Linked DNA regions of Rattus norvegicus. The protein of the gene in region 2 interacts with the protein of the main gene of each other region in a biochemical or structural test. Links are inferred from orthologs where the notes say so. Each region holds a gene or a part of one and is shown on either strand. Other genes may lie near its edges.

Region 1 (3,914 bases), about 160 Mb from region 2:
AGTTGTTCTCCGATTCCACACTCGAGTGCCCACGTACACAACAACAAACCATAAATAAGGTGCAGGACAATGGTGGTGCACACCTTTCATTCCAGCACTCAGGAGGCAGAGGCAGGTGGATCCCTGTGAGTTCGAGGCCAGCCAGGGATTCATAGTGAAACCCCATTTAAAAAAAAAAAAAAAAAAACAACGTCTTGTAGCCTAAGGAGAAGCAGGGGCTCTGGGAGGACACACCTCCTTCCCTGGTCTTGGCTGCATTTGCAGGGGACTCCCTTTGGTGGGTCAGCAGGAGAGTGAGAGGGTATCTGTGAGGGCCGTGGGGACAGGCTGACCCCACTAGAGCTCAGTGCCACTGGAAATCCTTTTGGGGGTTACTCCCAGCCTCCCAAACTTTGAAGGAGGAACCTCAGGATTCAGAGGACCAGCTGGACACTGGGAGTCACAGTCCAGGCAAGCCAAGATAATTTGAGGGTGTCGCCGTGGAGAGACTCACCCTGAAGAGCAGCAGCGTCCCTGGCACCACTGCACAGAACAGCAAGATGATCCCTTCTGCCGTGATGATGCGGTTCTTGGTGCCTTCCCCCATGTCCAGGAAGGGCCTCGGGACTTGCTCTGTGAAGACAGGGTGCTGCTTAGTGTTCTGGTATCCCTTCCTCTCCCAGCCCTGCTCCTTGCGAGGTCAGGGAACCCTGAAGCCACCATCTGGCAGGTGACCTGCCAGGGTTACAGGTTGCAGGTCCAGGAGGGAGGAGCTGGCTCTCTGCTTCCAGTGTTCTGGATGAGCCGGAGAACAGAACTCCAGGGTCAGTGCCCCTCCCTACTCACTGCGCACTCGGAGGTAAGTGCCACAGGAACGCTTTACTTCTTTGCTCTCTATCACTTGGCACCAGTACAAGCCCCTGTGGCTCTTGTTAACTTCGGGGAAGATCAGCTTGCCCATGGGACCCAGGCCAGGACCCAGTGGCATTGGGGGCCATGTGCTGTTGGACTGGAGACTGAACCACCATGTGATATTAGGGTTCTTGCCGTCGTTCTTACAGGTGAGGACGGCCTCCTCACCCAAGTTCACCGTCAGGGATGGTGGATCCCTTTCTAACATCAGGGCCTGGCATCCAGGACCTGTGGAGAGATGAGAGGAGACAGATGGGTCAGAGCCTGGAGATGGAGAAGATTGCTCCAGCCCCCTTCATGCCAGCTCTCTCAGGAGTGGAGTCTCACTGGTGGCAATGGTATCTAGAATAAGAACAGACACCGGGGGACACGCCCTATGGCCTCTTTCTTCCATTTCCCCTTTGCATTTTGTTGTTCCCCCAACCAGCCCAGGGACTCTCTCTGAAGACCATCCCGTTGGTCCTCATTCTTCATAACCCTTAGGAACCTCCATGGGGAAGGGGGTGGAGATGGGGCACACCTTAGACCCAGGCTCAGCAGTACCCAGCCTATTGGAAAAGGTACTAGAGCCCAATTCTGTCCTACCTCCCCGAATCTGTCCTTGGCTTGGTTGTTTAGTTTGGTTTTGTGCCTGGGTCATTTCTCATCTCTGTAATTTAAGTGAGGCAACCTGCCAGGCAGTAGTGGTACATGCCCCTAATCCCAGCACTGCAGAGAGTGAGTCAGGCAGATTGCTGTGGGTTTGAGGCCTGCCTGGTCTAACAGTGAGTTCTAGGACAGCCAGGGTGGCATAGAGAAACCCTGTCTCCAAAAACAAAACAAACAAGACAAAGAAACCAGTGTCGACCTAGGCCCTGGGACGGAGTTCTGCCTGGGGCATCCGAGGAGGCTTAGAGAGACAAGGGTGGACTGGTGGCCATGGTGTGGGCTCTCTGTGTTCACCTTGAGTCACTCCCACCCCACCCCTGTTCTCAGCCACCTCAGCAGCACACTGGCTTATAGCCCTGTTTCTGGACATAACAGGAAAGAGGAAGGTCGGAAGTGAGGAAGAAAGAAAGGGAGGGAAAAGAGGCCCCAGCAAGTTCCTGGTCTCAGGCTTAAGACTCAAGACAGCAGGACTCCAATCCCTGGTCCCAGACCTTCCCCTCTGAAAACCTGGGTCAGTGTGTTCACAGGGGTGGCGGAGAGGAATGGAGCACCTGAGGAAGCATGTCCTCCAGACGTAAGGCAGAGGAAAAACAAACAAACAAACAAAAACTGTTTCCCCTCACTGACACCCTTTGCTACCTCCATATCCTCATGTTCAGTCAACACTCACCTCAGTTCCTCATTCTCACTTGTGGAGCTAAGGTCGTGTGTTGTGGAGCATGGTAGTCTTGGTCCTAACAGACTTACTCAAGTCTCCTCCAGCCTGTGGCTCAGTACAGAAAGCTGTCCCTGATTCCCCCCCCCCCCCCTTCTCCTTGTCATTTTGGGACAGGCAACCAGTAAATTGCCCAGGTTAGCCTAGATAGAACTCATTATGTAGCCCAGGCTGGACTCAAGCACAGTATTTCTGCCTCCTCAGTTTCCTAGAGTTCAGGCATTGCTTTAAGAGTTGCGCTGCTGGTAGGGGTTGGGGATTTAGCTCAGTGGTAGAGCGCTTGCCTAGCAAGCCTGAGGCTCTGGGTTAGGTCCTCTGCTCCAAAAAAAAAAAAAAAAAAAAAAAAAAAAGAGTTGCGCTGCTATGCACCCCCCTGTCTGGCCATTTCTGACTCCACTCTGCACCTTTCTGTCAGCCGCATCCCCCACGGCACCTTCCCTTTGGTCACATTACCCAGGCAGGCTTCGGACAGGAAGAGGAGGAGGAGAGGCAGGGTTCGGAGGACTCCTAGACCCCCTAGCATCGTCTCCCAGGGAGCCGGTTAGTCTGGGTGGCGGTAGCCTTGAGGTACCAGATTCCACTCCAAACTCCGCCTCACTTCCTGTTCAGCCCTGCCGGAGATGGGCTCCAGTGGCCCTTACTCCTGGCCCTTTATTTGCCATCTGGTGTAGGCCCTGAGTGGAGAGGAACTGCCCTGCACCTGGCTGGCCACAATTCCCTTGAGTCTCTAGTGCGTGGGGTCGGGGAGAGGCTGGTTCAAGGCCTGGTTCATGGTCACGGGTGCCTGCTAAATCCACAGCTGCTCTGGACTTCGGCTTCTTTTCTCACTAACATTGGGTAAAACATAGCGCCCTTATCCGCCCTTTTCTTTCTAACCCCACCCCTTTTCTCTCGCTGTTCGTTTTTTTGAACGGGTTTCACATAGCCCAGGGTTGGCCTTGAATTCACCATGCAGGTCAAAGTGACCCTTTGTTTATCACCACCTTCTATTGTTTTTAATTGATGGTTTATTTAATGTCTGAGTGTTCACATACGTGTATGCATACATGTATGTATGTGTACCGTATGTGTATGTGTGTGCCTGGTGCTTGTGGAGGCCAGAAGAGGGCGACAGATACCTTGGAAATGAAGTTATAAGTTGCCCCACTGGGAGCTGGGAATAAACCCTGGTTCTCTGCAAGAACAGCCAGTACTCCTAACTACCGAAGTCAATCCCCTGCCTCTGAAGATGCTCTTGAAATCCTGGTCCTCTTGTCTCTGCCTTCTTCTGAGTATTGTGGTTACAGATGTGCTCTACCATGCCTCGCAAAATTTTTCTTTCAGTGTAAGTGATGACCCCCGGGGGACTCATGAATTCTAGGTGAGCTCTGCCGCTGAATGACACCCTAGCCTTTAAGTTCTTTTATGTCCTCTCAATAGGGCAGAGGCCATCCTCCACGTGATGGAGGAGGAAATGGAGACTCGGTAAGGGGGAGTGGTCACTTGCCCAGTGCTACACAGTCCATGTGCTGACGGTGTGGTGATGACTCATGCCTCTAATCCCAGATTTTGGGAGGCTCAGAATAATGAGTCAAGAGGCTAGCCTGAGCTACATAAGAAACTAGCAGATTGTGGAGCAAGGGAAGGAGATGGTAGTGAGCTCATAGGGCAGCCAGTTTGG
Region 2 (3,814 bases):
CTGGTCACCTAACTCAGTACCAGAGTGGAGTTCCCAGGCCTTGATTTTGGAACGATAGTTCATGACCTTGACTCTTACAACCTTAATTGGCTTTGGCAATTCAACTTTCATTTATGGGTTTTCTTGGACTAATAATCCTATCAGATTTCCCTTACTGGGTAGAACTAGGAGATGAGGAGATGTCTCAGTGGACAAAGCACTTGCTATGCAAACAAAAATATGGGAGTTCAGATCCCCAGCGCCCATAAGAATGCCAGGTGGACACAGTGGCCTGCATGTACTTCTAGTATTCAGAAGACAGATCCAGGGGATACCTGGAACAAGTGGCTAGCTAGACTAGCCATATGCAATCAAAAGACCCTGCTTCAAGCAATCGGGTAGACAACAATCCAGAAAGACTCCTTAATGTTAGTGTTGGGCATCCACATACCTCCCCAACATGCACGTCATACACACAGACATATGCAATTTAAAAGTTAAACTAAAATACTAGCGTATGCATCACACTTTCTTCTGACTTCCCATCAGATATACTATTACACCATGTACATCGTATACTACATTAAACAGTATTTCAAACCATGGCCTTTCCTCTTATGTTCTACTTATAACATATAAACATATATACAGCCCTGAGGCTAAGTACTTTCACACTCTTTCCTTGATCTCTGGCGTCTAATAGAGCATCCTACCACTGTATTCAATGGGTAGACATAGAGCTGGGTTAAAGAGAAGTTACCAGCCAACCACAGTGATCCTCTCCTACAATCCTAAACTCAGGAGGATTATGAGTTCAAAGCCAGCCTGGGCTAAGGAGTTTTGGGCCCACCTAGGCTACCTGTTATGACTGTGACTATTTTCTTATCTCAAGATAGGAAATAAACAAATGGAGAAATAACAGCTACTGACCTCTTCGCCATTTTTCTTCTTTCCCAAAGCATATTGTTTGGTTGCTTCGATGAACCGCACAGGGATATTATATACACGCTTGTTAAAGAACGCAACTAGTGTGTACGGCTGCTTAGAATCGTGGCCGGAGCTTTTCCGAATAAGAAATGATCCATCCTGTTCAGTGAGAGTAAAGCACAGTGATCGTATTAGTTAATTTCCTTCAGCTAGAAATCAGTTTGTGAAGAGTATTTTATCACTTTAAAATATTACTTACTTAGCTCCGTGTTTTTGTTATTGCTTGGAATTTATTATTTTCCAAAAATACTGCTTATTAAAATGGATACTCAAAGTCGGCACTAGTGTTTAACGTGCTGACTGAGGTATTGGGCTCCCTGGGATTCAGAAACATGGAAAAGGTAAGATCAAACCGAGAGTCTCTCAAATGAGAGCCTATGCTTCCAAGTTCCTTAAGCAAAAATCTAAACTGGGAACTCAAGCTTTTAGCTGAAGAAAATACTCACCTTGGTAGACTTATTTTGAAGTTGAAAAACTATTAAAAAGTTCAATGTGTATTAAATATTTTATTAAAATAGCTTAGAATCATACATTTTAAAAATTATAGACAAAACATGACCTAAGATAAGAAGAAGAAATGCAACAACTGGTGTTCACCCATAGGGAGGAATTTGAAGAAAAAGACAAAAAGATCTATCTCAGAAACAAAGGTACAAAATTCGCCAGGTTTCGCGGGGACTAAGTAAGGTCTAATAGATTTAATGTGTGACCCGAAGTAAGCCACGGAGACAGCCACAGCATTTAAAATGGACTACAGCAGAGTGGGCCAGACTGTGATGACCACCCAAGAGTGACAGAGGCCTGGGGACAACACTGAAAACCTTGCGGCTGACTGTCCTGGCTCCAAAGGCTGCAGAGTCAACCAGGGCTCGCAGAAAGAGCAACAAGGGTTAACCTCCCAACCTCCAGGCAGCCCTGGAGCCACTTCCACCTCGGCCAAAGCACTATCCCTTCTCCCGGTGGACTAGCTAAGGAGATCCACAGTGGTTGGTTCAAAAGAAAGCAAGGATGTGATTGGCCCATACAAACAAGTTGTTGCTGCTCCAAACCATACCCGCTCCGCTCCGCAGTCTCTCTCCAGGGCCACGTTCCCTAGTGTACCGTGTGCGGCGCTGGGCCCCATAAAAGGCGGCCATTTTTCCCCCTAACTAGAGTGGGCTGGACTAGAAGGAAGCAAAAACTGAGGAAAACTTTAACTCGTTGGAGATAGTCTTCTGCTCTGCGGATGATTTCTGTCTAAACAGAGCAAAGAACCCTCACCAGCTGACATTTTGACAGGGATTTGAGGTTTTTTTTTAAAAAATGGGAGAACAGAGGAAGTGAAAAGGAAACTTTAATCTTCCACTGTCCCATCTGTCCCCAATATTGAGCTCTCAAAACAATATTTCCAGGTAGTTTCTTTGTCCATATCCTAAGCCCCATTCATTGGTTCCAAATAGCCTGTCCTCCCTCCTCCAAAGCTGGGCTCTGGCAGCATCAGGTCTTTCCCCAGACCTCCCGGCCTCCCGCTACTTTCCATTGTTTGAGGGTAGTGGACCCCCTGGAGCCTTGATATTAAAAACAAACAGGAAGGAGAAGAAAGAACAACGGGTGCTCCCACGAGCGGGGAGGAGGGGAGTACAGGGAAATAGCCCCTGCACCTAACCCACGCAACAACTAGTTGCATTTATGCTGAACCGCGGGCGCGGATGTGGGATTTTTAGGTGCCCAAACCTTGTTGGATCGGTGCAAGGCCTCTTCAGCAGACTTGCGGTCGCAGGCGCCAGCGTACCAGGGCTTACCGTGCAGTTCAGCCTCCTGTGAGACAGAAAAGCGTTAGGAAACATGAGCTGGTAAAAAGACCAGAACAATAATCGACATCTTTACCAGTAATGTTAAAATGAGTTTTGGGCTTTGGCCAACCACAGAGATTATATGGCTAGCTCGTTCCCATTTGGCATTCGCTGCTAAATTTAGTGCTAAAACATAAATGAACCTCACTAGATTCCTGAACCACTTTCCTCCTGAATGAATTATATACTCTTTTCTCATTGTGCGAATAGTCTTTATAAAAATTATTTATTTTTATTTTATATGTATTGGTGTTTTGCCTGCATGTATGTCTCTGCATCCTTGTGAGATCCTGGAGTATCAGACAGTTGTGAGCTGTCACGTGGTTGCTGGGAATTGAACCTGAGTCCTCTGGAAGAGCAGCCTGTGCCCTTAACTGCTGAGCCATCTTCCCAACCCGTGTTTTATTCTTGAGGCTTCATAGAGTGCTTCCTAATTTCGGTGTGCGTGTGTTTATATGTGCACGGGAGTGCCTGTGCACACAAGCGCGTATGCAAGTGTGTCAGATATCAACATTAGATGTTCCTTCTCAGGACCTGTCCACCTTGCTTTTTGAATTAGCATCACTCACTGAGACGGGGCCTCGAGGACTAAGCTTGGATGATGGCCACCCATCCCGGGGATCTCCTTTTCTGTCTCTCCCGTGCTGGGATTATAAACACACAGACAGCATCACACTCCCTCTTCATTGCATTTTTGTCTATTCTGGGGTTTTTTTGGGGGGGGTGTTGGAAAAGGGACTCAAATCTTCATGTTTGTGCAGTGATATTGTCTTACTGGAGTTTGACAAATAAGGATACTTGTTCACTTGTCACCTTCAAGGGCACACAGAGTCCCTTCTCTGTGTCTTTATGCTGTTCTGTTTGATATAGGCCTCCACAGGTCTATTCTGAGGAAATTATAAAGTTTAAATAAATGTGAGAGGAATAACAACCAAAACAACACGTCCCTCACTGTTTTAAAGAAACACTGTTATTTGGGGCGTCTGTAATAGACATGAGAAAAAAATGGGGTGAGG

What was found.
Region 1: the proteins of Blnk (region 2) and Cd79a form a complex in vitro, tested with the Homo sapiens proteins (2 studies listed by BioGRID). The link is inferred for Rattus norvegicus from reciprocal best matches to the Homo sapiens genes BLNK and CD79A.

The regions. Positions count from the first base shown.
Region 1 is NC_086019.1:89,620,348-89,624,261, reverse strand, and holds the start of Cd79a (B-cell antigen receptor complex-associated protein alpha chain precursor), read right to left. Parts: upstream 2,803-3,914; 5' UTR 2,778-2,802; coding exon 2,708-2,777; intron 2,338-2,707; exon of another isoform or gene 2,210-2,337; intron 1,120-2,209; coding exon 826-1,119; intron 613-825; coding exon 494-612; intron 1-493. UniProt on the Homo sapiens protein: Required in cooperation with CD79B for initiation of the signal transduction cascade activated by binding of antigen to the B-cell antigen receptor complex (BCR) which leads to internalization of the complex, trafficking to late endosomes and antigen presentation.
Region 2 is NC_086019.1:249,707,993-249,711,806, forward strand, and holds part of Blnk (B-cell linker protein), read right to left. Parts: intron 2,764-3,814; coding exon 2,680-2,763; intron 1,066-2,679; coding exon 910-1,065; intron 1-909. UniProt on the Homo sapiens protein: Functions as a central linker protein, downstream of the B-cell receptor (BCR), bridging the SYK kinase to a multitude of signaling pathways and regulating biological outcomes of B-cell function and development.